Linked DNA regions of Rhinolophus ferrumequinum. The protein of the gene in region 1 purifies or fractionates together with the protein of each later gene. This does not show direct contact. Links are inferred from orthologs where the notes say so. Each region holds a gene or a part of one and is shown in the gene's direction. Other genes may lie near its edges.

What was found.
Region 2: the proteins of CCP110 (region 1) and CCNF purify together in Homo sapiens (affinity purification with western blotting; 7 studies listed by BioGRID and IntAct, with this or other methods). This does not show direct contact. The link is inferred for Rhinolophus ferrumequinum from reciprocal best matches to the Homo sapiens genes CCP110 and CCNF.
Region 3: the proteins of CCP110 (region 1) and CEP97 purify together in Homo sapiens (co-immunoprecipitation; 10 studies listed by BioGRID and IntAct, with this or other methods). This does not show direct contact. The link is inferred for Rhinolophus ferrumequinum from reciprocal best matches to the Homo sapiens genes CCP110 and CEP97.

What each region holds. Positions count from the first base shown.
Region 1 is NW_022680357.1:15,413,483-15,424,325, forward strand, and holds the start of CCP110 (centriolar coiled-coil protein of 110 kDa), read left to right. Parts: upstream 1-5,473; 5' UTR 5,474-5,702; intron 5,703-6,572; 5' UTR 6,573-6,654; intron 6,655-7,331; 5' UTR 7,332-7,477; intron 7,478-9,339; 5' UTR 9,340-9,354; coding exon 9,355-9,495; intron 9,496-10,843. Other genes in the region: GDE1 (glycerophosphodiester phosphodiesterase 1), read right to left, coding at 3,857-4,117.
Region 2 is NW_022680357.1:4,050,580-4,061,296, forward strand, and holds the start of CCNF (cyclin-F), read left to right. Parts: upstream 1-5,506; 5' UTR 5,507-5,581; coding exon 5,582-5,597; intron 5,598-6,662; coding exon 6,663-6,817; intron 6,818-7,889; coding exon 7,890-7,996; intron 7,997-8,967; coding exon 8,968-9,035; intron 9,036-10,243; coding exon 10,244-10,437; intron 10,438-10,717. UniProt on the Homo sapiens protein: Substrate recognition component of a SCF (SKP1-CUL1-F-box protein) E3 ubiquitin-protein ligase complex which mediates the ubiquitination and subsequent proteasomal degradation of target proteins.
Region 3 is NC_046285.1:30,663,240-30,673,985, forward strand, and holds the start of CEP97 (centrosomal protein of 97 kDa), read left to right. Parts: upstream 1-5,535; 5' UTR 5,536-5,719; intron 5,720-7,971; 5' UTR 7,972-8,152; intron 8,153-10,746. Other genes in the region: RPL24 (60S ribosomal protein L24), read right to left, coding at 1,343-1,423, 1,837-1,900, 2,186-2,322, 4,459-4,569, 5,148-5,223, 5,346-5,350. UniProt on the Homo sapiens protein: Acts as a key negative regulator of ciliogenesis in collaboration with CCP110 by capping the mother centriole thereby preventing cilia formation. Required for recruitment of CCP110 to the centrosome.

The sequences.
Region 1 (10,843 bases):
TTAGGGATGCCTCAAAAACTTCGATTTCCCCACTTTTCCCACTCTCACAGTGGCAGACGGGGAGACTTCCGGAATTTAAGTTTCTCTAGTTGCCTTAATTATATGCGCCATTGGCAGTTTACAGTTGCATATATTTTGACAGATCCCACTGTTTCCCTCCACACTGTTTGGCACAGCATCTCTGAGACTCCTCGGTGTTTGCTGATTAAGTCGGGTGTTCACTACCTTGGCATAAACAAGACGAGTGAAAAACAAGACGAAACGAAACAAGACACTCCCCCCCAAAATTTTTACATTATGCAAGCATAGTGTGTGTGTTACGTGCCATTGAGTCGGCTCTGACTCCTGGTGACCCTGTGAGTGAGTGACGTCCACAATGTCCCGTCCTCACTGCCCTCCTCAGATCCTGCAGACCTCTGCCTGTGGCTTCTTTTATGGACTCCGCCCATCTCATATTCGGTCTTCCTCTTTTCCTACTACCTTCTATTTTCCAGCATTATTGTCTTTTCCAAAGAACCCTGCCTTCTCTGATGTGTCCAAAGTAGGACAGTTTCAGTTTTGTCACTTTTGCCGCCACCCATGTTTATACAGCAAAAAACACTTAACAGATGTAAACCCTTGTTGGCCATACTGGCTTCGATCTCTTGCTGCCTTAAAAAACATAATGAAAGCTGTTATCTACTGAGCCTTTTCTATGTGTCAGGCACTATTCTAAGTGCTTTAAATGTATTAACTCACTTGATCCTCACAACACTTTGGGAGGTACTGTGAGCATTCTCATTTTCAGATGAGGAAGCAGAAATAAAGAAACTTGCTCTGGGTTACACAAAGAAGGATATGGTAGATGCTGCACTATTTATTAATCACTGTGACATTACTATGGACACTACAGAGGCAGCTGAATTTCTCCCCCTTCCTCACCGCTTAAAGTTGACGTGCATCCTTCCCTTATCATTTCCCAGAGGCCTTTGTGTATCTGCTGTACACTTAAGTGCCTATAAACAACCTACAGCACTCTACTAACGCACAGTAAACATTCAATAAATATTAGCCATTGTTAGGTACTGGGTTGTTTTGAAACACTGGATTATCAAATTTATCAATGTTCTTTACGGGTAGAGAGTTTTCTATCTTTTTAAAATCTTTTTCTATCCCCCATTTATAAACACATACACCCATATTTTCTTCTAAGCTACAAAGGCCACCAGGGAGGAGGGAGCCACAACGTGGGGACTGCCTACCCAAATCTATCCTTCTTCTCTGCTGGCGGAGACTGGCCCTTGCCCCAGTGTTCAGTTTCTCCTGGGCTTAGAGTAAGTGGACTACTCCCAATCCCTCTGTCTGCGTGCGTGCGTGACGGAGGCTTCTGGGAAAGAAACGTGGGAGAGGACGTGCAGCCTTTTCTTGAGATTAGATGCTGGTGTGTAAGAAGGTGATGCCTGGGGTGCAATGGCCACCTGGCAACCGCACAGAGGACTAGTACAGATATGCTGCAGATGGCAGAGCAGATGGATCCATGAAACCTGAGTCCTCCATGATCACAAACTGAATGGCTGAAGAAACAATCCCGGAAGTCACCTCTCCCACACACACTTGTCATGTGAGAGGATAACCCCATTATTGTCTGCGATATTTGTAGTAAACTCTCTATTACACGAAGCCAAAAGCATTCTAAGAAACACCCAGGTGGTTGGAATAGACAGATTATGGAGTTTGAGAAAGACACAAGATAGAAAGGTGTTTGGATTTTATCTAACTGCAACAGAGAACCACTGGAGGGTTCTAAATAAGGGCAGGATAGTACAATCTGATTTATACTTTAAAAAGGTACTCTGGCCTGTGTGGAGAATGGACTGTGGGTAAAATTTCATCACTGTCACTATGCGTAATTGTGTATGCTTTTGGAATACATTCATTTCATCTCTCAGTCCTTCTCTATCTACAGAAGGCCATTCCCTTCATCTTGAGTTCAAAAGAAATATATAGTGTATTTCCATCAAAGTTTGGTTTTTGTCCTGTTCTTTCTCCCTTTGCATGTTTGCATCTCATAATTTATATTCTTAAACTTTCTATGATGTGAAAAATCACGGAAGACTTTCTGACAATGGTAGAACTCTTGGGTTGTTTTCCTATAGTGTCATCTTTCTTTTCATGACAATTCTATCTCCTGTGTAGCTATGTTACTTCATCTGACCGCTCTGAGTTTTAGTTTAGAATATAAAATACACCCTTCAATATCTTTAGATTTCTTTTTAAACAGAAGGCTTAAAGAGCTGTTCTGCCTCCCTTCCATCGCAAAGAACCACGGGGAAAGAAGCACAAGAGAAGTTTAACTTGGTTTATAAACACAGAGTGAAGTGCGCTCCAGTAAATTACAGGCTGCCTTCCAGACTCCCTTCCTTCTTCACTTATTTTTTTTAACCTTTACTCGGAGATGATTTTAAAGGATCAAGCCATCTTTAGATTCTTGGCCTAAAGATCTTACATGAATGGAAGTCTCATCATGGGCCAAGCACTTTGTGTCGACTGTCTCACTGAATCACAACCTACTAAGTGGATGCCAATAGTATTCCCATTGTACAGATGGGGCAATTGAGGTCAGGGCTAGGACTAGAGTGAAGGGAGGTGTCCTAAGGTGCCTGGCCTGCCATACCCTAGTCATGACTCTAACTGGGACACACACAACTTAAGTAACTTGCTCCTTATACAACATTGTCTGTCCCTAGCTGGACAAATAAAGGATACTCAGCCCACGTTTTCCCATCCTGGAACAATTCTAATCTATGACAACGTGGATTGGGGCTTGGAATCAGAAGGCTGAATTCAAGGAGCCATGTATTTGAGTCAGTTTTCCTACCCATTCAATGTTAAAATAATGTCTCAAAGAAACGAGAGGACCAGATCTATTTCCTCAGATGCAAAAGAACCTAGACAACGCAAAAGCTCTCTTGCTATGTAAGCTGTCATTATTATTGTATTATTATTGTGAAGCTGCGAGACTGCCAGGAGAGCCCTGTGAAAAGGGGAGGCAAAAATTCATCAGGAGTCCCGCTGACATGGTTGTCTGAGTGTCAGTGTGTTTGGGGGAAAAGGTGATAAGGAGATGACGTGGGCAACGGCTGCTCCTGGGGAGGGGATCCATTTAGCGTGAACTCAACCACTGATCAAGCCTCTGCTTAGCCTGGCCACGTTTCTTCCTTCACTCCCACACCAGCCTTCATTTTATTCCTTGAAGTCAGGCCACAGAACTGCCTATTCTGTCACCTGAATATTCCAACACCCTTCCCACTTCAGGACTTTCGCTCTTGCTGTTCCCTTTTCCGGGGACGCCTTCCCCCCAGATCCCTGTCTGGGTCTTTCTCATAATCTCGATTTCAGTTCGCACGTTCTTCTCTTCAAGAGGACGTCTCTGATGACTGTCTAAAACAGCTTAACTCCTCCTCTGGGTCATTCCTTGTACCATTACCCTATTTCTTTTTTGCGCTTTTCGCTCTCTTCAAGTGTCTCATTTATGGGTTTCCTCGTTTAAGGCCTGTCTCTCCCACTGCAAGGCAAGCTCTGTGAAAGCGGGGCCCTTACGGACTTGTTCGTGTGTCCGCGGTGCCTGGCACATAGCAAACATGTCAATATTTGCTGCTGTTCTACAAATTCTTGAAGACTTTCCAGACTTCAGAGGGATGTTGGGCCACTTGAATGTCTTCCTGGCGGACGAATGGGGTACTGGGAAGGCTGTCGTGAGAAGACTGGGGAAGCTTGGGAAGGGCAAGCAGAAGTCCAAACTCCCAGGAGCGGCGGAGGGGCGCGAGGGGGGAGAGATGGGGGTATGGGGAGGAAGCAGGGGGGGGGGGGGGCTCACCTGCCGAATGGCCGCCAGCGTGTTTTCGGGCGCGTCGTGGCTGCCGCCGCGGTGGGCGATGGCGGCAACGCGGTCCCGGGGCTTGAGCACCTGCAGGGCCCTGCGGGGGGGCACAGGCTCAAAGCTGAAGAGACGGAGCAGAAGGTAGAGGCTGCCGGTGAAGAGGCAGGCATTGAAGGGGCTACGTGTCACCAGCAGAAACAGCAGCAGCAGGAAGGAGAAAGGGCCCAGGAGGCCCCCCTGTTCCTCCCACAGCCACATGCCGGCGCCCGCACCGGCACGGACGGGAGTCCCGGACCCGCCGGGCTCCTGGGACAGGAGAACGAGAAGCGAGGGCGAGAGCCCAAGGCACTCGCCGCAGGGGACACCCTTCAAAGGGACTAGCGCCTCACAATGGCGGCGGCGGCGGCCACATCCCTGGAAGGGGCTGGGAGTCCAGCCAATCAGGGCCCGGGATCTGCGAGGACGGGGGCGGAGCCACTGCCATGGCAACGGAGGCGGCCCCAGGCCCCAGGCCCCAGGCCCCAGGCCCCAGGCCCCAGGCCCCAGGCCCCAGGCCCCAGGCCCCAGGCCCCAGGCCCCAGGCCCCAGGCCCCAGGCCCCAGGCCCCAGGCCCCAGGCCCCAGGCCCCAGGCCCCAGGCCCCAGGCCCCAGGCCCGCATTCCAAAAGTCCAAAAGTGGCTTTTGGGTTACTCTGGGATCTGGACTTCAACCTGAGCTTTCAGACTCCGGAAGGGGAGGGATACGAGAGCTGTTGTATAGTCGTAGGACTGGATGGGATCTTAGTGACTCCTTCAGTCTGCCTTCGAGGACACCGCCCAGCAGTGAACAGGATCTACAGGGTTCCTACTCTTGCGGGGCTTACGTAATCGTGGGGGAAAATAATTGTGTTCGGGGGTACAGCTAACATTCATAGAGCACCTACCATGTCCCAGGTTCTGTGCCAGCGAACGCTTCAGTGGGTAGGTATTATCTTCACAACAGCCTCAGTGGGTAGGTATTATCTCAGGAGACTGAATTCAGTTGATTTTTAGGAGGGTTTTTCAGACTGAGGGAACGAAAGGGCATAGCAAAATGAGCGAAAACCAGATTATAAAGCTGGAAGGCATTTGAATGATTCCCTCCTTGTGCAAATGAGGAAACTGAGGCCAGGAGAGGTGAAGCGAATTGAGCCATTAATGGCAGAGTTAAGACTGACTCAAGCCACCCCAGTTTTAGGCCAGTGACTTTTCCACTGCTACTTCTCCTCCTAACCTTACGTCCTGCCAAGGGCTGGTCATGGGGCTTACGAGCCAGTTATTGGGCGAGAATTATCTGCTGCTCCTCATAACCACCCTTGTGACAGTCACTTTTAAAACTCTCATTTTACATATGCAAAAATAGGCACGGGAAGGAGCGTCAATAAGAGAGGCAGAGCGTAAAGTCAAGTTACAAAATGAAAGGTGTCACTATATCATTTGTAACGGTAGAGGCGCTAGCTCGCAGTGAAGACTACGTTTCCCGGCGCGCACCGCGCTTCCCGTAAGTACCACGCCCTTCATCACTGGCCTAGGAGCCTTACCCAGGCGCGCAATGCACCTCGGGGACTGTAGTTTTCTGGTGGCCCAACGGTTTCAACGGCCCGGGAAGCAACCACCGGAAGTGCCCACCCTGAGAGGTGGAGTCTGGGCGGCGGCGGCGGTTGCCAGGAGCCCGCGTTGCCGCCTGAGACCCGTAATATGGCGGGGAGGAGGAGGAGGCGGCGGCGGTGGACCGAGCTGCTCTCTGTCAGTACCAGTTGAGCCATTTGCTTCCTGACAAGGCCTGTGGTGAGGGGAGGAAAGCTGACCCAGCCGTAGGAGATCAGGTGTGTGCGTGAGGAGGGGCTTTGACTCCGAGGGTCCCGCCACCGGGCGAGGCGGACCTGGCGCCCTGAGGAGCTGAGGGCGGGCTCCGTACGGAACCCGAGCGCCAATGCTGGGCTCCCGGGCCTCGAGCCCCTGGAAAGGCGCCGGTGTGGGGAGGCGGGGGCCCCGGTGCCCGTGGCACCCAGCGCGGAGGTGATGCTCGGATGGTGGCACCACCGCCTGGTGGGCCCTAGGGATGGAGCCTTATCCAAGGAGCTGGGGGAGGTGGATGTGGGGCGCTGGCGTGAGGGTCCCGGGTACATAAACTCCGGCCCGAGCCTGTCTCCTTTTGATAAAACTGGGCCTATTTAAATCACCGGGCCACGAGGCTGGCGAGGGAGGCGTCCCCAGGGTGTGTACTGGCCATTTCTGCACGCGGGTTACCACAACCGGAGGCCCTCGGAGCGCTGTTTACTCTGCCTTCGCGACTCTCTGGGGGCAGAAGCATGAGGATAATAAAGCAAATTATCTTGATTGCCTCTCATGCTGCTACGTGGTTCCCAATCTTTGCTTCTCTCTGGTTTTGATCCAAGTTCCCTACCCCCCGCGTTGAGGCAAATGACAGGTGCTAGAGATTGATTCAATGGGAAGGGGTCTGGAAAAATAAGAAATGAGGACGCTGTTGTCCCCCTTTCCATGTTTTACAGTTAAGTTTGAATCTTACCAGGAACCACGCACTGTTCACTGCCCTCCAGGAGTTCATAATTTAGTGATAAGCCACCATCATCATCATTATCACCATCATCATCTGCATAATAAAAGCAGCCCCCCCCCTTTTATTGATGCTTTCTGCATGTCCTGCAGTATACTAATTGCCATCCGTGTGTTAGTTTCTTGAATCCTCACAGGATCTCTTTGAGACAGATGAGATTATCCCTATTTTACAGATGAGGAGACTGAGGCATAGAGATGGTAAGTGAATTGCCAAGAACTTACAGCGAGTGTGTGCCTGGATAAGAAACCTTCCCCTGTATGGCCTCTGCAAGAGGTTTATGTCTTTGGGAGGACGGATGGGTAACCAACCATCTAGAATCTCTAAACAAGGCAAGATCTGTTCTGTGTTACTTTTACCATTCCCTTCAGTGATGTGACTCGTAAAGCACTGGTGAGGAACAGGGCGCAGGCGCAGGGCCATGAGTCGAAGGGGTTTGCAAAGAGGCTTACTTGGAGAAGGGTCATGGTATAAATGGGAAAGACGAGGCATGTCTGAACTTGATGCAGCTGACAAATTATTAATGCACGTGAGCCGGTAATGCCTGATGGTCAAGTATGGGGCAGTAGATTTGTGGTTGGTGTGGCCGTGTAGTCAGGGCTCCCTAAAAATAAAATCCTGCTGACAGAGGTGATTGTATTGTGAGAAAGGCGGCTCCCTCTTGCTCAATCGTGCAGGCTATGGATGCTCACTTTGTAAGTGGCTGCCTTTGCAGTTCAGAGGTGCCAGTTTCTGTGAGAATAGGGTCATCCATGAAACTACCACTCTTCCTTGCTAGCTGCCTTGCTATCTAGTCGATCGCTGTTCATCTTTTTCCTGGTTTGCATTATTCTTTGAGCTAACTACCCTGATGTATTTGTTCAATACTTTTATCAAGTGCTACTGAGTGCTGGCGCTGTTCCTGTGTCATGGGGATTCAGTGGTGAGCAAGAGTGAGAAAGCACCTGTGCTTATGGAGCTCGTGTTTCACTGGAGAAAGGCAGACAAAAACCAAGGCAACAAACAAGATAATTTCAGATAGTGGTAAGTGCTGTGGAAATTGGTAAGAAGCAGTATAATGTGGTCGTGACTGATGCAGGGTTAATTTAGATGGGGGACCAACAAGCTGAGGCTGAAGGATAAGAAGGATCCAGTCATGCTCTTCTAGGATCATTTGGTAATTTCCATAGTCAGCATATTAGCACTTGTATTTGGATATTTCATGCAATAGCAGATGCCACAAGTTATGCTGAAATAATAATAAATTACGGTCCACCTGCAGTATGTATGACATACATGTACTGTTTAAGGGATATGAATTTAACTTTCTGAAGCAATGAGGCATATCTATGTGACATTGTTGAAAGAAAACTGAAACTATTGTAAAGATACTTTGTTTCCTTAAATTTCCCAGACCTTTAAAATAGAATTTCATTCTTTGTTTGTGTAGCCATAGGAAGTCTATTAACATTAATTGTATGAGTAATCTATTTATGTGCCGTAAAATGCTGGATGCATGGATTGTGGTAAAAAATATTTGGAAGTATTTTAATCAAAATGGGGTCGTTTGAATTTCTCTTACGTCTTAGCTTCTGCATATTGTGATTGTTAAGATAATCGTAATCATAATGTAGGTTGGACTCTAGACTGAAAATGGAGGCCTTGCTATGGTGACATTTCTGTGAATTAAACGCTCACTTTGCATAATTTGAATATGGAAATATTTAGAATTGATGGGATGGTAGGAAGAAGTTATTAAGACTACCAGTTGGTCAATCTAATCATAATTTTCATATGCTTTTTCTTCATTTCTAATTGTATTATAATTTGTCCCTGGCACTTCAGTGTACTGAATTTTTAAGTACCTGGAGGCTTAGGACAGTATCATATTCTCTCTTATTTCATCTTTGCATATCCTACATCATGAATTGAATCTCCCTGCCCTCTGTCTTTTGTTAATTAATTAATTGTTTTAAAATGAACACTGAAAGATACATTACTGTATTAGTTTTTCTGTCCTCACAGTTCATTCCCTTGTTGGTTATGAGTCTGATGATGACTCCCTTTTTATTTTCCCTTGCTTATTTAAAGGAAACAATGCCAGACATAATGCTATGGAAACAGGCAATCAAATATTTAATGCTTGCTAGCTGAATGAATATGGTGGCTAATCCTTCCTGGTTCCCTTGTATTTTCATAGCCACCATTACACTTTTCCAGAAATTGTGAAGTTACAGGGTTGATTGTTTTAAGTAGTTTGGCAATGGTTTCAATTTTCAATGATCAACTAGAATTATTATGAGAGCCTATAGATTTTCTGTTTTCCACTGCTGACTGATTTGGCCAGTGACCATGGAGTCATACTATGTTTTTTAGATATGCAAGTAATAGACTTTGAACTCCATGACAGAAAAAGAATTTTAAAAAATAAATATGCTCTTTTATTTAAATAACCCTTTTGTCTTTTTTTTTTTTTGTAGAAAAGCATTTCTACCTTTCTATAATTTAGTTTTTCTTGTGCTGTGTAGATAAGTCCTGCTTAAGAAAATGTATTCTATTTTGTAATCTAAAGTTAGGAAAGTGGTATAGAACTTTGTGTTTTTAAAGTAGAGTTCATTGGTGAGTGAGTTCTTAGTACTTTTCTAAACTAATCACATTCAAAGATTGATTTACATGCAAGTGTTCAAAAATGTTTACTATCTGGAAGCAAGCTTCAACTGGGGAGGATCGTGACCTATGTTTTACCTTAGACTCAAGATTTAGCTCCTGATCAGTGAAAAAATTCTGGGAGGGCCAGTTCTAGGAGTCGTGAATTCTAGGAATATTTCAGTGCTCTATACAATTGGCCAAATAATTAAGATGTATTTTACTCAGCACATTCAAAATGACATTCTTCTCTTTTGTAGTGTGGTCGTGGGAAGATGGAGGAATATGAGAAGTTCTGTGAGAAGAGTCTTGCCAGAATCCAAGAAGCATCACTGTCCACTGAGAGCTTTTTACCTGTCCAGTCTGAAAGCATCTCACTTATTCGCTTCCATGGAGTGGCTGTGCTTTCTCCACTGGTAAACGCTCTTTGATTTTTACATAACCTTGTTTTCTATAGTGGCCCACAAAGGCAGTTCATAGAAAAACAAAAGAAAGAGTTATGAACATCAGAAAGATGCCTAACTTATTCATAATTAAAAAAATAGAAATGAGTTGGGTGTTTTTTTTAGCTTTTTTTTTTTTGCCTACTAGATTTGCAAAGATCTGATAAGATCTGTGGGGAAAAGGCACTTATGATACACTTTTGCTGAGAGAATAAGTTAATTTTATTTTTTGGTGAGCAATATGGTAGTGTTTATCAGAATTTAAAAGTATACATAATCTTTGATTCAGCAATTCCATTTTGGGGGAATATCTTACAGTTATACTCATCTATATGACCAAAGAAATCTTCGTAAGGTTATAGAAGCGTTGTTTAAAATAGAAAAAGATTGAACAACCTAAGTATCTATCAGTAGTGGACTAGTTTAACTGGTCCGTTTTATAGAAGAATCTCATCCATGCCATTCAAGTGAATACAGTACACCTAAGATATGGGCCTGGAAGAATATCCACAAGCTACTATAAGTCACTGCACAACGCATGCTCTCGGGGGCAGGGAAGAGCCGTGGTTTGAAGCCCAGCTCTGCTACCTTCTGGCCTGGGTTCAAATCACTGCTCTGCCACTTACCTGCTCTGTGAACTTGCAAGTCCATTTTCTTTATTTGTTAAATGACAATAAAAATAATGCCTGCCTCACAGAGCTGTTTTGAGGATTAAATAAACTAATCCATTTAACATGTATAGAACCACTTAGATCATAAGAGATAATCAATCTGTGTTAACTATTTGGGTTTTTAAATAAGGATCTTGCACTCCTTCTCTGGGGAGGGGTAAAGGAATATAGGATGAGAAGGAAGACATACTTTTTATCACATACCCTTCGATATGGATTGAATATTTTTTATATGTATGTGACTTTATTTCAGATCAGAAAATTAATATGATTGAAAGTGAGTTAATTTTTTCTTATATAACAGGAGTTAAAAGATAAGTAATTTTTGCCAACTTTTTATAATTACATTTCCAAACATGCATAAACGTTGAGAGGTACCATGACCACCCATATATCTACTAGTTAGATTCAACCGTTTTTTAACATTTTTGCTTTATTGTGTTTGTGATTTTATATATGTATATGTGTGTGTATATATTTGCCTACTCTTTTTGTTTTATTGCTGAGCCATTTGAAAATTGCAGAGGCATGACATGTCTCCCCTGAATATTTTGGTATACATATTATAAAAATAAGGATATTTTCTTACATAAAACCCTAATACCATGATCACACCTTTAGAAAATGAATAATAATTTTAATAGCATCTA
Region 2 (10,717 bases), about 11 Mb from region 1:
ATTCCTTTAATGCACTTCTGGATTCTATGTGTTATCAAGGACTTTTATGTCTTCAGTGAGAATGGGTTTTAGTGTTTCTAAAGCTATCATTGTCAGATTTTGGTATCACTGGTATGCTAACCTGCTTTTTAAATATTGGAGGTTTTCTATCTTTATGGATCAGAATGATCTGTTGCTTGTAGTTGAGAACAACTCACCCATTCGAGTTATTTGCACTTGCACTGCTTTGAGGTGTCTTTGACAGCTTTCCCAATTTCTTCACAATTTATTTGAAGAAATATTTAGACTTTTAGAAAACTCCCTTCCTTTACTAAGTTGGTGATATCTATTTTCCTAAATAATCAACCTACACAGGCAGGTTGATAAATTTGTATTTGCAGAGACTTATAAAAAGCGGTTAAGTTTCTATGCATCATTAGTTATTCTTAATTAATCTGTCACTCTGTTGGCTCCCTTTTTGTGTTGACTCAATGTACTAGTGAATTATTTATTTTAGGAATTTTATTTCCCTACTTAGCAGTCCTTCTTTTCCCTTTTCTAATTCAAACTTTCTGCTATAAAACCATGTGTTGCTAAGAAATTTAGAGTTAAGAAAACTTATTACAGAAACAATTCTTTCAATGGAAAAGTGTTGTCGTAGACTGGAGGTCATCACATGTATCGTAACAACGGTCCTTTTCTTGCCAGAATCTCAACCGTGGTATTTTAGAAATACCTGTGAACATGTAGCTACATAAACTGAGTATTTGATCATATGTAGCTTTTACTTAGGAGGTACCGCTTTTCTTTCCTGTCATGCGAATGATAGTTTTGAAGTATCATTTGCATCCTTAATATCCCTAATAGTGGTTGCTAGCGATGCTAGTGACCATAAGAAGTTCTTACAGCTGTGTAACTGCACAGAGCTAGTTTCCTGAACCAGTTTATCCAGTGATGGTCTGTGTAATAAAAAACAAAAATCACCCATATACATAATTGATTTTTAATTTATGTGGGTTTCTAAATTGTAATTTAATAGTGAAAGGGTTTAGGATTATGATTTTACTCTTGTCAACATAATTTTTTAAAAATAGACTTTAGTTTTTAGAGCAGTTTTAGGTTCACAGAAGAATTGAGGGGAAGGGACAGAGGTTTTCCATATACCCCTCGCCACCTGATATGCACAGCCTGTCCTATGATCAACATCCTGCACCAGAGCGGTGCATTTGTTACAATCCGTTGTGACATGGACACATCACTATTCCCCAACGTTTATAGCTTACAATAGGGTTCACTACTAGTGTTGTACATTCAGTGGGTTTTGACAAACATGTACTGATATGTATCCATTATAGTATCATACACAATAGTTTCACTGCCCTAAAACTCCCACGCTCTACTTTATCCTTCCCTCCCCAACAACCCTTGGCAACTACTGATTCTTTCACTGTCTCCATAGTTTTGCCTTTTCTAGAATGTCTTATCATTGAAACCATACAGTGGATAGCCTTTTCAGACTGGCTTCTTTCACTTAGTAACATGCATTTAAGTTTCTTCCATGTCTTTTCATGGCTCATTTCTTTTTAGCGTTGAATAATATTTCATTGTCTAGATATACCAGTTTATTTATCCTTTCGCCTATTGAAGGACATCTTGGTGGCTTCCAAGTTTTTGGCAATTATGAATAAAGCAGTTATAAACATCCATGTACAGGTTTTCATGTGGACATTATTTTTGGGACTCGGGCCAAGGCTTCTAGAAGCAATAAACTCAGGGCATGTCTCTTATCTGTGGTAAGAGACAGAACTCCACGGCTGCCATGCAGACGTAAGTCCTCTGGTTGGATAGAATATCTGGTTTTAGTTCCTAGCCTAGGGAACCAACATAATGTAAACCGACTGGCAGCCGACTGATATTTTATTGGAATTTTATTTCCAGGGGTGGGAAACGTTTAATAAGTAAAGTACTGTAATTACTCAACCCCTAAGATAACTTCCCAAAACCATACCAATAGGAAGTGGGCTACAACAGCACTGCAGCTCAGAAGGGCAATCGCCTCCAATTCCCTTCTCGTGAAGGGCTGTGAAAGATGGCAGATACAACCAGTCTCCCTCTTCCAATGTATGTTGGATGACTTGGGTGGTCATATTCTCATTTTTGAGCCCCAAGTACCAGACCCCAGGGAGTCAAATCTAGACCAGGACCAGAGGAATGCACATCACCCAGAGCCTACCCTTGATCTAGATGCAGAATCCGTCCAAACCTAGATCTTCTTTTGGAGAGGGAGCAAGTGTGTTTTATGTTGTTCATAGATGGTTTATTATATTAGGCAGAGAAGTTTTTAAATGTTATATACAGGATTTCTTTTCTTCTGGGCAGCAAAGGAGATAGGTTTCCCTCCCTTCTGCTGGTAATAGAAATCTTTGTATGTGTACATGTGTGTGGGGGGTAATCATTTCATATGGTTCAGACCCCTTCTCCCCATTTTCCTGGCTCTTCTCCCACACGCCACCAAGCGAAGCCAGAGTCTTCTTGGGAGTTTTGCTGGAAGGAGACATATTTTCTCTGGTATTTTTTATATAAGCCTAGAGCTCCTGTTTAGAGACTGCTTGACAAGAGGACACAGAGGAAAGTAAAATTGAGAGACAAACCCTGATTCCCTGATTACATTATTTGAACACTTGGACAGCTGTTTCTATAGGTTATTCCATTTTAGACTTCCAGTTATGTGAGCAATAAATCCTTCATCTGTTGTTTTTGTTTTTGTTTTGTTTGGGCTTAAGCTAGGTTGAGTTGGACTTCTGTTACTTTGTAAATGACAATTCCTGTCTGGTAGATCAATTTAATTTCATGACTTGGACTACGCTGGTAGCAGAGATAAGGAAAGAAGTGAAATTCACATAACATACAATTGGCCATTTTAAAGTGTGCGATTCAGTGATACTTACTGTATTCACAATGCTGTTCCTTTAGATTCTTATGTGCAACATCAGAGATGCTTTAACTAGAGAAAAAATATTTTTCTTTCCTCAACGGAAAAATGTTTTTCTGGAAATGAAAATATTATTGTAGTAGTATCTAAAAATTAAAGCATATATTACGCTTGGGAAATAAAGAGTGAAAAGGAACTTGCTGCTATATAAAGTATTTTTCTTTCCTCTGATTTTTTCTACTCCTGAGACATGCCCCATCAAGTCGCCTTTCTCTCTCCAGCAGGGTCACTCTGGACCCTCTAAAAAGCCCCCTCAGCTCGTCCTTTGCCAGGTAGTTCTCTCCCTCCCTTCTCAGCCAAGCTCTGGGAAAGTGGTATCTAAAGTCCCTAACCACATTTCCTACCTCCTATTGCCACTCACCCAAAATTACAGCATCGTCACATCCTTGGCTGCCACACCCACTAGTTTCTCCCTTTTTCCATGTGACTGTTCAGTGACATTTCACAATATCCCCTGCAGCCTTCTGATGAAAGCCCCTCCCGTGGCCTCTCCCCATTGCATTTGGCTCTGTCCCTCTGTGGCCCCTTCTCTGTCTTGTCTGAAGGCTCCTCTTTTCTTTCTGAATGGAGGGGTTCTTCAGGCTCCCAGTCTACTTCACGTTCCTTACTCTATCCTCTGCCCCCGACACCCCTGAATTCCTTTCACATTCACCCCCAGGCCTTCAGCTACCATCTTGTTCCAGCTAGGATCTTCCCTGAGCTCCCAAGTCTAGATTTTTCCAGTGACTTCTCCCACCTTCCTGAAGCCCAGTGGGAAACGGGCCCCTTATCACCCCGCTGGGTCAGAGGGGCTTTTACTGCCAGGGCAGTGGGTGGGGGCTAGAGAAGGTATAGCTGCAACATAGCCACGAGAACACCTGTTTCCTGAAAAATAAGAAAACTTTACCTCTGAATAAATAAGAGTGATAAGGGAGGACATAAAGAACAAGTCAACCGAGTGAGTGACCAGGGATGTTGTTTTGAACTCCTTGACGTTGTATCACAGGGGAGTTAGAGTGGTGAATGACAACGGACTTGCTGACTGGTGAATCCAGTGTACTAGTGCCACCAAGCTGCTCCCAAAATCTAACACTGAAAAGAGTGCACTCTTCTGCCTTGGGGGAGACCTGTAATGAAGCAAGAGGGCAGGGGAAGAAGACAACAAATTGGGAAACAGTTACCAATGGAAACAGGTATGAGGAAGGATGAGAAATCGGAGGGGTCTTCCATGGATTTCTTCCAGTCCTTTTGTGTGGGAATGTGGGACATCTAGGGAGCAGGCCCCAAGCATGCTCAGCTCTATTCACTCAGCTTCCTGTACAAATCCCCTACCCCCTCCACCACCCCCAACTTCCAGGGCCTTAGTCCCTTGTCATTTGGGGACCACTGAGACTCTCACATCCTGCGTTGTGATCATCCACCTCCTCAGTTCTCCACCTCTTGCTCCAGACTGGCATGGAGCATTGGCACCATGGGGTTCAGTGAGTACAGAGGAGAGATGAAGGGAGCGGGGTTTGAGCCATAACCCAGATTCCCTCGCTTCTCCAGGAAAAGCCACTCTGTCCTCCCTCAACACTTCTCCCAGGAGATTCCATTTCTTTCATTGTCAAAATGTCTCACGTAAGAGGTGGGATGTGAGCTGGTTCCTGAAAAACAGGCGGCGTAGTCATTGCCTGATATCTCTGAATGAACAGAATGCTCAGCAGCAGCCCGTAAAGCAAACAGGCGCGCAGTTCTCTTTTAGGAAGAGCTCCCAGGTGGCATTGAGGAGGAGATATTGGGGACAGACTTGGGAAGATAGCTGGTGAAATGAGAGGGTTAGGGCTTGCCCCGGGGCAGAGACGATGTAAGAGTCCTGAGTAAGCCACGTTCCTCGGGACGACCGGGCAAAATGTGATGGCTGAATCAAAGAAGATTTCGAGCCCAGGTCTCAAACTCCACTTTCTACAATTACAATCTATGCAAACAGTGGTTGGCCCGGAACAAGGGGTCTCCTCGCTTGAAGCACGGATAGGATGCAGGGCGTGCGGCCTCCGAGTGAGGGCCGAAAGTCAGGGGCCGCCTTGGTGTCCCTGACCTACGGTACTTGTGGGTGTCCAGTTGCGCCGCGCCCTCCGCAAGACGCCGCACCCGGAGGCGCGGCCGGTACGACAGACCTTCACTGACAAGCCACTGCGCGCCGTGGCTTCCGATGTTAGGGACCTCTGACGCCGAGTCAACAGGCAAGGCCCAAGCCCAGAATAGCCCGAGCCCAGGCGGACCTTCTCGGACTAAAGAGGCCCCAACCCCGGAGCCTGAGCCGCGCTCCTCCAAGACCCCCGACCCCGGTTTGGAAGGCGGGGCATCCCCGTGGTATCCACCAATCAAAGACCGGTGTTCGAATTCGCGTCCTGGCGCGGCCAATAGCGTGAGCCCCGAGCCGGTGGTTAGGGCGGGGCAGTGGGCGGGGCCTGCTGGACCCGCGGCGTGCGCCCCCCCAGACCGGCCAATGGGAGCTTCGGGCGCGTTTGAAAACTAGGGCGGGCGGTGGGGCGGCTCTGCGCTTGCGTGGGGCGGCGCGCGCAGGGCCCGCGGGCGCCTTAAGCGGCTTAGTCGGCGGCGACTGAGGCTGAAGTGGCGGCGCGGGAGGAAATGGGGAGCGGCGGCGGTGAGCGCGGGGCGCGGGAGGCGGCGGGAGGGCGACCCGAGACTGCGCAGGTCGGCTCCAGCCCTTAGGCCCGGGATGCGGGGGATCTCGGTGGCGCCCGCCCGGCGCGCGGTTTAAATGCCCGTCGACGCCGCGTGAAAGCCCCGCGAGGGACCCGGCACCTGTCGTGGGCTGTGAGCGCAGTGGTTAGGTTTCGTGTCTGTCCTAGAGCAAGGGAATAAGGACAGCGTTGCGGTAAAATTCGTGGAATCTGTGGGAACTGGTCGCTCTGTAGGTCTGGCTTTCGCAGCACGTTAACTGAGGGTACGAAGACCCAGGTGAAGAGCAGGGAGTGGGGGGAGGAAAGTACTGAGGGGGGAGTCATATTTGGAGGAGAGCAACCCCCTCCTGTAGGGACCGGAGGGAGGAGCGGGTGCAAAACCAGGTAAACTGTAGGTGAGGGTCTGGGGAGCTTCAAGGTCCTCTGCTTAGAATGTGGAAGGAGCTGCTGAAGTTGAAAAGACCCCTGCGGGGACAGAGGACCCAGGGCAGCTCCAACCACCGCAGAGCTGGGAATGGCTTGGCCTTCAAGTTCAGCCTTTGCTTCCCTGCAGGGCTGACCCTCCTAGTTAAGTGGAAAACCAGATTGTTCAAGTCCACAGTTCCCGTCGAACTTTATGCGTTTTTGTCATGTTTGCAAAGTGGAAGAAAAATCACTTCCACTTTGGGTTTTAGGGGGCTTCACTGAGTGTGAAATGCCAGGAGAACCTCATCAGTGTTGGCTGCTTTTTCCCTTTCCTAGTTGTCATCGGGGCTCTGGATAAGAAAGTTTCCCAATAGCAAATTACATGATTCTCTGCTATTCACCATAAATATTTACTGAATATTTGAATGAATGATGATGTCTTCTGTAATCCTTATACTACTACTCCTTTATTTCATCTTTGTTGGGGACTAGAAATATGGCTGGTTCCTTTTGTGGGGCAAAGGAGAGTAACTGTTAAACCATCTTCAGGTATAACTTTTCATATCAGTACAATTCCTTTCCAACAGATCCCTTAGACCATTCTGATTTTTTTTCTTAAGTGATCCACTGTAGGTGTGCCAAGTGTTTCTGTTATCCTACAAAACGAAGAATAAGAAGGAGACCCCGAAACCTAACCATCTTGAGTCTCCCTGAAGATGTGCTCTTTCATATCCTGAAATGGCTTTCTGTTGGGGACATTCTTGCTGTTCGAGCTGTAAGTTGTCAGATGAAAAGTGTGTCCTATTTTCATCAGTCCTAGCATTGTGGTCATACCATCATCAAGACTTCATGTTCTTAAATGTCAGAACAGCGCTTTACCTACAAAAAAGAGCCAAGAAACAAGGATGATACTGTTAATAGATGCTTGAGGTTGTTCTGATTGTAGGAAAGCTAAAATGTAGCACACCCATTGTAATGTTTAACAGAAAGTACCCTTTTATGGCAGTGAAATTTGTATCCCTTAAGAAATAGCATTATACCTAAAACTAATATAATACTGTGTCTCAACTGTAAATGAAAAAGAAATTTAAAAATTTTTTTAAAGAAATAGGATGGTATTAAAAAGAATCAAAGTATACTCTTGAGGACAAATTCCATGTAACATTCCACACTGAAAGGGACTCTGGGAGGTATTTTACAGATATCAGAGCTGCAGCCTCACTTTGACTTAACTGAGGGCGTATAGTGATTAGTGAGAAAACAAGAACCCACTTCTCCAACTCGGAAAGCTGCCTCCATTTTGGTCATAATATCCATGGGTGCTGAATTTTCAGTGGCGGTGGGAACGTTAGCATTTAAAATGCTCACCTGTGGTCAGGGCTCCCGCCCAGGGCAGAGGCTCCAGGTCCTACCTGAAGCTTCCATCACGCATGCCCGTCTTTTCTGAGAGCCCCTGTGGACCTCCAGGCTCCATCCTTGCTCCCACTAGCAAGGCCCCAGCCAGAGGAACGGGAAACAGATTCCTGTCATACCTGTTCCGTTAGAGTTGGTTTCCTTGAACGTATATACCCTAAGAGAGGTGTCATCCCCTCTTTCTCAGCTTAGGGACTATTCTCCCTTCCAGAACCACTGTCCCCACCTTTAGAGCCACAAAGAAACTTGTTTCTGGGCTCTTTATTCAAATCAACTGTTACTTTGAGACAGAGACTGGGGGCCTTTACTACTGGGGTGGGTAAGGGAACAGGAGACCCTATATCTGTCTACGTCTTGTCTTCAAGAGATCTAGGAATTGGGCTTCTGAGAGGTCCCTTGATAATCTCCCCACTCACCCCACTTCTGTTCTGCAGGTGCACTCCCACCTGAAGTACCTGGTAGACAACCATGCCAGCGTGTGGGCATGTGCCAGCTTCCAGGAGTTGTGGCCTTCTCCAAGGAACCTGAAGTTCTTTGAAAGGTATCTCTGCACCCTGAGAACAGCTTGGTTCTGTCCCGTCTTTGGGCCTCCCTGATATGCCAGCCTGTGTCCCAACGGCTGACCTGGGAACGATTTTCCCCTTATGTAGCCCCCACCAATCCCTTATCCCAACTGGGAAGCAACTGAGGGCTGTGGACCTCACCCATCGAGTCACACGACTTCCAGCACAGTCATCAGTCACCCACACACCGGCACGGACCTGACTCATTAGTCACAGCCGTGCTTCTGAAGGGTCCCATGTGGGCTGTAGCCCATTCTGCATGACTCAAACGCAGGTCACCTTCACGTGGAAACTTTACTCAGCTCTTTTCTTTCGGTCAAAATCCTGTGATTTAAATCCCATTGCAGATCCCACCCCTTGGCTGATCCCACCCCCTGCTAGAATTGGGACCTAAAGGGAGGGCCAAAGGGGACATGAGCCTCAAGGCCCATGAGCCCGAGTATGCCAGCAACTAGACCCACCGTCCAAGTGTGCCAGTGGTCCCAGGCAGGCTACCTGAGACGTCATCCACAAACTATACAGTTCACCCATTTTAAATGTGCAACTCGATGGTTTTTAATATGTGCAGAGTTATGCAGCCATCAATACTAATTAACTTTAGAACATTCTCATTACCCCAAAATGAACTCTACCCATTAGCAGTCACTCCCTCTTTTTCCTGCAACCCCCCAAACCTTTGGCAACCACTAACCTGCTTCCTATGTCTGGATTTGTTTGTTCTGGACATTTCATATAAGGAATCGTACAACATAGGGCCTTGTGTGCTAGCTTCTTTCACTTAGCATGTTTTCAAGGTTCATCCATGTTGTAGCATGTCATGGATAAATGATATGTAGCTGCATTGCCTGGAAAAGTTTCTGTTCAGAAAACAAGTAGCTTCAATTGCTGAGATGGAACATAACCTTTATGGAATGAAATTGTGAGATGTTTTATGTTCTTAATGTTCTAGGGCTGCTGAAAGGGGAAATTTTGAAGCTGCTGTGAAGCTGGGCATCGCCTACCTCTATAATGAAGGCTGTAAGTCCTGGCAAGGCTGGAGCTGGCCTCACCCCACTTGGTATTAACATTGTAGAACAAGCAGGAGCCCTTCCCAGTGTTTGTAATTTAGTCGCTGTGTCTGGCGGTCTGCCTTACTGTCTCCTCCAGAGGGCTTGTGCCTAGAGCCGCCCTGTTAAGGAACCCATCGATGAACTGTGATTTTGTAGGTGGAGAGAGTCACCTCTTATTTTAATAAACCCTTTCATTGCAGTAGGCAAAGAATGACTGAGCAGAGACTCAGAATGGGGCTACTCGGGCCGGCAGCCTTCCCCCACCTGCCTGCTCTCTGTCCAATTAACACAGCAGCCCATGTGTAGGCTCTGGTTTCTCGCCTCTGCCACAGCTCCTCTGCAGAACGTGGGAGCGCAAAGCGTGCCTGATTCCACGGAGTGTCAAAACACAGGTAGCCAAGGCTCCAAGCCGGAGGCAGGTACAAGCAGTTCAAAGGCGGCTTGGTGCCTGAATTTCTTCACCCCCAGGGGGCAGGCGCTCCTTGAAAGAATCTCGTGTGGCTTTCTTCCAATTCCTGCCTATCTGCTTAGCACACCAAAAAACTAGCCTGCGGTCTGTCCTGTCCCAGTTCCCAAAACGCATAAAGGCTTGGCTAGAGCCATTATTCCGCTTCTGAAAAATCGGGTGTCTTGCTGAGAGCGAGCCCCTGCATGTGGTCAGTTGCCACGACTGTTGTGACGTGACTGGTAGAGACCATGAGCATTCCTCCTCGGCTCAGGACAGCAGCAGTCCTGCCCCCACCCTTCCGCAGACATAACTCACACACGTACAACTCGCCATCTAAAGTACACAACCCTGTGGTTTTCAGTATATTCATGAAGTTAGGCAGCCATCACCACTGTCTGATTTTGGAAATTCTCATTGCCTCAAAAAGAAACACCGTACCTGTTAGAAGGGAGGGCGGCAGCAGTACCCAGAAGTGGGGAGGATTGAGGGCCCCTTCCCAACCTTAAAAATCCAGGCTGCTGCGAAGACCGTGGCAGGGGCATGTGATTCACAAAGTAGGGAAAGAAAAGGGAGGAGCCCCTGTCCTAGAGGATTGGTCTCTCCTAAAACACCTGCAGCTTTGCACTGCAGTGGGCTTAAGGTTATAGGATTTTACAAAAGACTGTGGAGAACTTTCCGCATTTGTCCTCCAGAGACATCCCTGGGTTCCGTTCTGTCCATCTCCACAGTGTCTGTGTCTGATGAGGCCCGTGCAGAAGTGAACGGCCTAAAGGCTTCTCGCTTCTTCAGTCTCGCCGAGCGACTAAATGTCAACGCTGCGCCTTTCATCTGGCTCTTCATCCGCCCGCCGTGGTCAGTGTCTGGAAGCTGCTGCAAGGCCGTGGTACATGAGAGTCTCAGGGCAGAGTGCCAGCTGCAAAGAGTGAGTCCTGGCTAGGGGCACATGTAGGGCAAGCCGAGCTGCGCAATCTAAGCCCCATAGAGTCACCGGAAGTGAGGAAGCTTTGAGGGGAGACACCGGACCATGTAAGGTCAGGGATCAGAGGGCAGTGGAGGCACAGAAAATCAAGAGTGGATGTGGGAGTGTCTAGAAGCGACCCTGCAGGAGAGGAGGCCTCAGAGCCAGAGGCCAGGGGGATCAGATGAGAGGCTTGACTGCAGGCATATGGACAGCTGCGAAGGCAAGACAGAGGGTCCGTGAA
Region 3 (10,746 bases), on another chromosome or scaffold:
TTTATTGTCTCCAAAAAGTGGAACCTGTAGCTCTGTACTCACAGTGGGTATTTTGATTGGTTTTAACCTTTCCTTGTTCACAAATAATCTTATTTTCATTTCTTTTTTTGGGGGAAACAGTGTGTTTCTCCAGGGTCCATCAGCTCCAAGTCGTTGTCCTTCAATCTAGTTGCAGGAGGTGGTAAGGGGGGGGGTGCAGCCCACTGGCCCATGTGGGAATCGAACCAGCAACCTTGTTTTTCAGAGCTCACGCTCTAACCAACTGAGCCATCAGGCGGCCCCCCGTATTTTCATAAAGAAAACATTACCACAATGATGATTTTTTCAAGCAAAATCGTAATAAGTCTAAGCAAAAACTAATCAATACGTCTTGCATATCTATGTTGATTTTACACATCTGTTTAACTTAAGTTTCCCCAAAGGGTCTGTTTCATTGATTTGTTACTATCAACACCTAAAACAATGCCTGAATTTAACAAGCACTATAAAGAATAATCAATTTCATCACCTTGGATAGAACAGAGGTGGGAGGAAGAGTTGATGTCTGTTTTGCCTTCACCTAGTATTCCTGTATGTGAAAAAGCATGTTTCTCAAGAGGATGTGGCTTGTTCGCTGTTGTATCCTTGCATGTAGCAATGACCTACTTTCTGTAGAAGCCAAGCCTATTTTTAACAAATTATGACTACTATTTTCCGTATCACATTATATATATATATGCCTCTTGAACATCAGCAGGCGACTCAGACATGTTTACAATTTCAACTACAGCGCTGCCAAACGCCAAGTTCAACAAACTGCTTTGGGAATTTTTAAGTACATTCTACTCAAGAAGTTGTGCTCTTCACGTCAACTTAATCTGAAATCAAGAGCAGATTAATATAGCTGATAGTTTTAAGCACTTATAACTCAGCTATTAGCTAATAAGAGATTGAGATACCAGCGAACAAAGGCAAATCCAATATAATATAAATGTGTCTACTGAAGGAAAAGGATAACTTAAGAAAATAATTCATTAAAAAGGTTTACTTTCTGCGGACACAAGTTATAGGGAAAAGTGCCTCTTTAGCAATCAACCTAGACTAAATCTACATGGCACCCTAGTACTTACAGCTATAACCAAAAAGTTAAGACAGTGTAGTCTGTGTAACATGCCCTTACATCTCAGATAAGCAAAGCTTGCATTTAACCATACAGAGCTTGTTGACATCATTTTGCTTAACATCTCTCCAACTAAGAGGCTTACATTAGGGAGGTCTTACTCCAGAGAAAGGAACTCTTTTACAAAATTCTGCCACAATCTAGTTATAGTCAGATCTTTATTTAACATTTTCATCTGCCAACTTAGCGTTTTCCACCAACTCGGGGAGCAGAAACCTTCACAGGCTTCACAATCTTTTGCTTAGGTGCTGCCTTTGTGGGAGCCTGTAAAAAGATAACACATTATGTGGTATTTTCCCATGCAACTTTCTTCTTTAACCGATTACCCTCCCGTATGTCCAAATTCTGCATGTACCCTAGATTGCTTTCCTATTTAATGGCATTCCCAATATTACTCTTAAGAACCCTCCCCCAAAGTTAAAAGTCCACCTTTCTATGAAATATAAATGAAAGACAAAGATACTGTCATAGACTGGATGAGCTAAGGAGACAACAAATTATTTCAAAATAAACTTTAAGAAACAAAACACCCAGAAACCAGCTATGAACATTATTTCCATTAGAGCCCTGCACCAAATTCTTTAAAAACTTGAAACTTTCATTTACCACAATTTGGATTTAAAAAAACCCCTTTCCTGTTGTTCTAAATATGAAATCCAAGACAATCCCACAATTACCTTAGCAGCAGCCATTGCTGTCTTTTTAGATGCTTGCTTAGCCTTTTTTGCTTCCTTGGCAGCCCTGTAGGATTAAAAATAACTTAAGGTAAAGCACTTTACTCCTTAAGGGTACAGCTTATTAACAAGGAGCTAGAGTGTTTGGAAAAATGGAATTATCATATTCCTTTCCCATCTCCAATTTTTAGGATAAATCCAAAGGGTTTGTCACCAAATGTCATTAACCACCAAGTCAGCATAACATAGAAATTGCATAGTTTTAACTGCATATAGAAATTTCAAATCATTTAGACTATGTCATAAACTTGATATTAAACCTAAATAATGCTGACAATGAAGGCTCCCTCACCTGATAGCTTGTTCTCGCTGAGCCTTCCTAACTTCAGGTTTCTGATTTCTCTTGGCCATTATATCAGCAAGAGACGCACCAGTGATGGCCCTCTGGAATTTGACTGCTCGGCGGGTTCTTTTCTTTTGAATTTCTTCCTACAAAACAAAAAAATAGGGAGCACACTTATGAACCTTGCTTCATGAATTTGGGGGAGAAATGAGTAAGTTTTTAAGGCAGGGGATGTGAAGTCTTTTACGATTAATATTTGTCCTAGTCCATTTGCGCTGCTGTAACAAAATACCAGACTGAGAAGCATACAAACAATGGACATTTATTTCTCATGTTCTGGAGGGTGGAAGTCAGGGTACCAGCACTGTCAGGTGAAAACCCTCTTCCTGCTATAGCTAAATCATCACATATGGGGACAGGGGAACCCTCTCTTGGCCTTTGTATTATGGATTGGTTAAGCCATCTATTGTAAATCCTGGCCATTTTTTACTACTTTAAAGAGACAGAAAGTTAAACTCTGAGGAAGTTAATTGGCTAGTACTTTAAAAGTGATTTTAGTAAGACCATTTAAAGAAGTTACTTTTGGGAAAAAAAGATCAAACCTCAACTCACTTGTTTTGTTTTTACTCAAAGTATGATCACTGGTAGAAATAGTCAAGTTAGAAAATCACGTATTTTCTACGCTGGTGACAGGAAAGCCACCAAGCGTCAGGGAATCAAGACAGTACAATCCAACCATTTGCTGCAGATTTTATACTGGAAACCTACACTACAGTGCTTCTGAGAAAAAAGACCTTGCAGCACACTGCTTAGTCCAAGAAAAATTAAAATGTATGTGAAGAACTGTTTTCTAAAGCAGGGATAATGCCAAATATCTTTAAAATTTTAAACAGACTATATAGAGAAAATAGGGCACATTTGTGGTTAACTAAAATGCTCCTTTTACTTGTTTATATTTTTCCTTCTCTCAAATCCATTTTTAAAATATTTTTTATCGTGGTAAAATATACGTAACATTAACTAGCCCATTTAAAGCATTTTTAAGTTTATAATTCAATGGCATTGAACACACCCACAATTATGTGCAACCACCACCACTATCCATCTCCAGAACATTTTCAACATCCCAAACTCTGCATCCATTAAATAATAGCTCCCCATTCCTTCTTCCCTCACCTCACCCCGGTAATCTCTTTTTGTCTTATGAATTTGCCTGCTTTAGGTACTTCATAAAAGTGGAATCATACAATGTTTGCTCTTTTGTGTCTGGCTTATTTCACTTAGTATCTAAAAGGTTCATCCATGCTAGCTGTCTGGCTGTCAGCTTTTTAAAACTGAAAAACATTCCATTTATATACCACATTTTCTTATCCACTCTTCCACTGATGGGACACTTGGATTGTTTCCACCTTTTGGTGATTGTGAATAATAGTGTTACGAACATCAGTGTACAAATTATCTGTGTAAGTTCCTGCTTAAAATTCTCTTAGGTTATGTACTTAGAAATGGAATTGCTGGGTCATACAATAATTCTGTTTAACTTTCTCAGAAACTGCTAACCTCTTTTCCACAGTGCCTGTACCATCTTAAAACGCTACAATGCACAAGGGTTCCAATTTCTCCACGTCCTCACCAACATTTGTAATTTCCCTTTTTTGATAATGGCTATCCTATTGGATGTGTCAAACCCACTTTTAAATTAGTTTAGAAATAAATTTCTCCTTCCTCTGAACGCCCACAATACCTAGTAATGTCTTTCACCCATGAGTCTAAACACTTCAGCAAGCCTCCTGGATACTAACCCTATTGCCTTAGCACTTAACTTTTTGTCGTAAATTTCTGTCAAGTAAAAAGAGCACTTCAAAAACAAACCCAGTCTTCTTGAGTACTAGTATGCTGGAAGATTCTACCGATTATCTGTGTTAGGACTAATCCGATACACATAATAATCAAAACCAAGTTCCCATAACTACTTAGTTTCCACCCACTGTAACACCTTAAACACTTCCATGGTGCCCTGTAACCCAAGTGAGCTTTATGTTAATTTATCTGACTTGGACAAAGGGACACTTTCAAATTTCAACTTGGTATTTACCGTAAGCCTAATAAGATGTATAAGGAGGCACTGTTAATATCAATCATTTTCACTTCACTGAAGCTTTGCAGTTTAGGAGCACATTCACATACCCTCTCATTTAGTTACAATTTTACAGAGCAGCAACTGAAGGTCAGCATTTAAACAAATTAAGAGAGAGCCCCACATCAAAGTGCATTTTACTTACCGACTGTCCTTTTTTGTGCTTTCTTCTATAGAGAACAGTCCAGTTTATCTGTCGAGGATTCCTCTTGGAAAGGAATGCCGACTCACATTTTGCATTAAGAAATTGGAAAACCTGTTGTGACAAGTTCAAAATATATAAGTTACCTACTCAACTATACAAAATAGAAAAGGCTGAGCTTGAAATCCTTAGCTAATTAATATTCCAGTTTTATCCTGTGCTTTTTACAAAATCGAGGCCCAGAGACCCAATAGTTTGTGTCACACAACTGGCAGTTAACTGTGTAGCACCTCCAAGATCTTTGCATTTGGTCCTGTCTTTTCTCAAGAACAGACAGAGCTAAACTCATGTCGCAGGGGAGGGTCAAATTCTGGGAGGCAGCTAGTTCCTGTTCCTTCCGGGATTCCAAGAGGACCTGGTGGGTGCCCAGATACCTCGGTGGCCCATTTCCCTCACTCCGGGACATTAGTTACACAAACTCCTACTAATTTTCGACCTGACTCACACTAGATCAAAGATCAAGAATGGCTCACTTAGAGGTTTCTGATCCTTACAACCACTACACACAGGGTCCCCAAAGCAAGCCTTTCAGGGACCACGAAACGATGTGTTAAATGACACCGCCTAGACCAAATTAGACCCGTCTTTCCTCTTAAAAGTAGAAAACGCGTTTAGCCGACGCGGCCTTTCACCTTCCCGTCGGTCCTGGCGTAGCGCCTCCCGTGTCCGGGGTAGATCTTGTACCCACTGAAACTGCACAGCTCGACCCTGTAACGAAAAGCGAACGCCCATTAGGAGGGGTTGTCTACGATGAGAAGCCATACCCAGGACGCCCGAGAGGGGTTCTGCCCGAAGATGGAAGCGGATTAGGATGCCGGGCTCCCGCTTACTTCATGGCTACGGCTGCCGGAAAGAAGGAAAGATGGTGAAGAGGAGAGGATCATGGGTAGAGGCCTTCTAAGGCCTTGGGGAGCCAATCTCCGCCCCCAATTCCCTTTTCTAACCCGGGCGCTTGGTGATGACGTCACAACTACCAGGCGACTTATCTAGGTTTTAGCTGCGGCCACTTTCTTGCGGAGGAATTCTGCAAGAGGCGGCGGAAGCTCTGCGGGGTGAGAGGGAAGTGACAGTCACCCAGGGAGGCAGGCGCTTGGTTTCGGAGTCGCTCTCTCCTACAGTCAAATGTCCTAAAGCCATCATCCTGCTGCAGGAATGTGAATTCTCCCTCTTACAGTTGAGTGACCCACAGACGAATACCCCTCAGGTAAAACTTAAAATCACATTTTTGCCCTCCGTGTTCGCCCATTTCCTCAATCAAAAACATTGAATTTTAATAGTTTCACCATTTGCAAAAAAAAAGACATCTGAACTGTTTCCCAAGCCGTGCAAATCGAGTCGTGCGTGATGGCGCGTTACATTCATTATAATTAACATTCATTGAGTGCTTTCTCTGTGCCAGGACTAATGCTAAAGCATTTACATACACTGGTTCATTCAATTTACAAAATCCCTGTTACGTAAGCGCTGTAAGCGCCTTAGTACCGCAGAACGACGACTGCGGTAGGGGAAGAGCTAGGCTGCGGGGCTGTTTCCTATTGGAGCTCAGGGGCCAGTGGTTGCACAAAGAAGGGCAAAGCCCTTGCCTGGAGGCCTGGAAAAGAGAGTTCTGATCAGACCCACCCGAAGGTCAACGCCTTAATCTCTCTAACCTTCTGTAATGCTAGATAAACTTCAGCATATGATGAATGGGGAGTGGCAAGAGTCAATCCTAGGAAACAGAAATATGATTGATTTATGCTATCTATATAAGCAGCCTTACCCTATAAAATTTCTGTAAGGAGGTAGTTGAAGAGATTTGGAAAATCCAATAAGGTGGCTCATTAAAGTTAAGAAAGCTGTACAATTATGCTGGAACCAGTCTTAAGAATGAGTTAACAGAGATCTAGGTGGAATTGAAAAGCAAAGCAAAGAGGAGAAATTTGACAGCCTGACCAAATGTGATCAGCTGTTGAGAATACCTGGTGTACTTCAGAAAGATACTGTCTACATAGACTATGGGCAGATAAATGCTTCAGCCTTACATGGCTCGATGAACTTATTCAACTCTGACATTCATCCAACTCTTTGTTTTAAATCACTGCTGATTAAACAAATGTTTGATCATTAAAATAATTTTTTGTTTTCTGAATAGTCCTGGTTACTATAAGCTCTGAGTCGGCTGGATGTAAGTAGAGGGTGGAGCCAAGATTTACCTGCAGGAATTTGGTTCTGTTTGCTCCACAGAACCCCAGAATTTATAGACTCTTTCCAAGCATTTTAGAAAGATTTTGCTTTATTGGCCTTCAAAATTGTGTTTGGCTTGACTGGCTCGGTATAGTTAAAGTGGGAAACTGGGTCTTAAGGATTTTAGCCTTTTAACTCTTCTTTCGTGTTGGGCATTCTTGAGGTAGTATTTCATGGTCCTTTGTAACATTGTGTGTATCATAAATGAAATTGTGCTCAAACACTCTTAGAATAAGAAATTATAAAGAAACTCCTAAAAACATTTTACGTTGTGTAGTAAAGCACAAGTTTCCAACACCATCCATAAATTTTTGCTGACTTTATCCTCACATTCTCTTTTATAGACAAAAGGCTCAGCTGTACTCCATTATCTTATTTATTTATGGAGCAATTTGGAACTAAAGTTGGAGCTCTTCTCAACTCTATATACCTCCTGAGAACAGACCATTCTTCTCTTCACTGCTTCTTCACCTTTTATACATACTCCACCTTCTGTATTAATTTCCCATAGTTGCTATACCAAATTAGCACAAACTTTGTAGCTTAAAACATCGGAAATGCATTTTCTTTCAATGCTGGAGGCCAGAAGTCTGAAATCATTGTCACTGGACTAGAATCAAAGTGTCTGTGCTCCCTCCAGAAGCTCTGGGGGCAGAACATGTTCCTTACTCTTCCAATTTCCACCTAGATAAACCCTCTTGAATTCCTAACCCATAGAAACTGTGAGATCATAAATGTTTATTGTTTTAAACTACTATGATTTGGGAATCGCTTATTAACATAGCAATAGAAAATACAGGAGGTAAGGAAATTGTCAAGATCAGGACTTAGTGAATAGTGGTGTCATTTGTAAAACGACAGATAAGAGTGGGCCGGCTCGGTGGCTCAGGCGGTTGGAGCTCCATGCTCCTGACTCCGAAGGCTGCCAGTTCGATTCCCACATGGGCCAGTGGGCTCTCAACCACAAGGTTGCTGGTTCAACTCCTTGACTCCCGCAAGGGATGGTGGGCAGCGCCCCCTGCAACTAAGGTTGAACACCGCACCTTGAGGGCTCAGGCTTTGTGAAAGAAGGGGGAGAAGAGAAAGCAGTATTAGGCAGGAAAAGTTAAATACATTGCAGGACCAACTAAACATCAGTCAGCCCTGCCAGGAGCTCTGGAACAATTATTGCCTGCCAGAGTATCCCATGTTGGGCCAAATGATCAACCCTCTTTATAACCCCACTTTGCTTAGTCACCAGATGTGGGTTGCTCCGGAGAGTCACGACCTGTTAGGTGGTTCTCAGCAGCTGAGCCAGACCCTGCTGACAGCTGGAGGATGCAGCTGACCACGATGCCCTTTGTTGGGCAGCAAGCCCTTGCTCGCAGAAGGATCTGGAAAGTACATCTCTGTGTTTACCACCCCTAGAAAACAAGTAAGTGCATTCTGAGTGTTTTCTTCCAATAACATTCTCTTCTTAGGTGTAGGAAGGATCTTGCCTCTTTTAGAATATACCACCATAATTCCCAGCAGGCTGATCAATCCTAAGACTCTCAGGCATTGACTTCAGGGATGGCTTTGAAAGCAATGTCTAGTAACTGGGTTAGAAAATTACCAGGTTTAAAAATTATACAGCATTAAAAATTACGAAGTATTCTTAAAAATTATAAAGTATTCTTTAAAAATATCTAGGGGGGGCTGGGTGAAAAAGGTGAAGGGATTGAGTAGTACAAACTGATAGTTACAAAATAATCATGGGGATGTAAAGTATAGCATAGGGAATATAGTCAATAATATTGTAATATCTATGTATGGTGCCAGGTGGGTACTAATGCGGGGATCACTTCCTAAGTTATATAAATGTCTAACCACTATGCTGTACCTAAAACTAATATAATATTGTATGCCAACTGCAATTGAGAAATAAAAAATAATTAAAAGAAAATACATAACAAAATTCTAATCAAGTCGTCATATGTAAGTACCAATTTATGAAATATAGGGGCCAGACAGACATGTGAAATGACTCCACTGGGATGCAGTTGGCATCTACAGGGTGACTTAATTTCTTCAATAACATGTAAATTGTAAGGAGGGGGAGAGAGAGATTGAGAGAGAGAGAGAGAGAGAGAGAGAGAGAGAGAGAGAGAGAGAGAGAAGAAGAACCTATGGACAGGACTAGCTGCATAAATAATTTTCAGGGCTCCGTATAAAATGAAAGTGTGGGGTCCTTTTTACAAAGAGCGGGAAAATGATGCTGTTAAAGGTATTAAAATGTTAAGCTACTTCCTTTCTTCTGCAATATGTCTCTTGACCTTTCATGGTTTTTTTTTTTTCATTTGCTATTTGACGTCATGCTCCCTCAGGTGAGGACATTTGCAAGGGCCTGTGCAGGCCCTCATAGGTGCTCAGGGATCTGCTCTGGGACTTGATGTGTGTACTGAAACACGCAAGACACACCAGCTCTAGGGTTCCCCTCCTTCGAGTAGCTGGACCAACATGCTGTGCCCTAATAAAGATGGGGAAGTATAGCCAGCCATCTCCTTCCACCGTCCTCCTGCCAACCCACTGCAAACTGGCAGTACCCTGGGATGTGCTATGTACCTGGAGACCTGATGGGAATGGGCATCAAGCCACTTGTGGAATGCACAGTGGTGCTGCCAGATTTAGAGAGAGGGCACGGAGAGGCGGAGGCTGGCATCAGCAGACTGTAGAACCAGCGACTCTCCAGGACCCATCCCTAGAAAGTGAGGAGGTTCCAGGAAGTAAGCCGACATGTGAGCTGAGTCTCCAATGCTCAGGGCACATGCTCTATTATCCCACTGTACTACACTTAACAAAACACAAATTCAAAGACAAAATTATTAAGACTTTCAAGACAATAACTGCAGAGCATTAAACCCCAAGTATGGGATGCTCCTGAGCGCGGGCCCTTCGTGAATACACCAGTTGCACAACTTGAAGATGGCTCTGCCTATAGATTAAAAGAAATTTAAGAGCCTCCTCAACCAATTAAAACATATGAATCTCACTTGAGGCTCAATTTGAACAAACAAGCTGGACAGACCATGGGGTAATTTAAATACTGACTGGAGTTTTAATATTAACATATACTTTAAGTGTTGTAATTGTACTGTGATTATGTTTGATTTAAAAAGTTTTTATCTCCAGATATATACTAAATATTTACAGATGAAATAGCATGATGGCTGGGATTTGCCTTAGAGTAATGTGAGGGAGGGTCCAGTAGGTAAGGGCATGGATTAAAAATAGATTGACCAGGAGTGAATAATAGCTGAAGCTGGGTGTTGGGTAGGAGGGTTCATTAAAATAATCTCTGTATTGTTACATACGCTTTTAATTACTTTTCCATGATAAAAAGTTTCAAACAATTGCTTTGGATTGAAAAGATTTAAGTCTCACAATTCATTCCTGTAAAATAGGAAGAGTACGTACCACCTGTATTATTATATTTTTAAATTATTTTTATTTTTATATTGGAGAACAATGTGTTTTTTCCAGGACCCATCAGTTCCAAGTCAAGTCGTCGTTTTTTTTTCGTTTTTCAATCTAGTTGTGGAGGGCGAAGCTCACTGGCCCATGTGGGAATCAAACTGGTGACCTTGGTGTTATGAGCACTGTGCTCTAACCAACTAAGCCACTGGCCGCCCACCTGTATTATTTTTTAATAAAAAAAAATTTTTAAAGCAAAAATAAACTTTATCCCAGAATGTTTAAAGCAACTTTACTCCAGACCAGTGGTTGCTTCTGCGTGGGAGGGGAAGGATTGAATGGGAAGGGATATAAGAGAACTTTCTGTGTTAATGGTAATGTTCTATATATTTATGGGTTTAGAGTTAATACACAGTTTGTCAAAACTCAGGAAATGTTTGTTTAAATTTGAGGATTTTATTGTATGTCAATTTTATTTTAATAAAGGAAATTGTAAGTAAATATTGAGTGAGCACCAACTAATGAAATATATGCTTAATTATATAGGAGGAGGTATACTGATACATCAAAAAATAA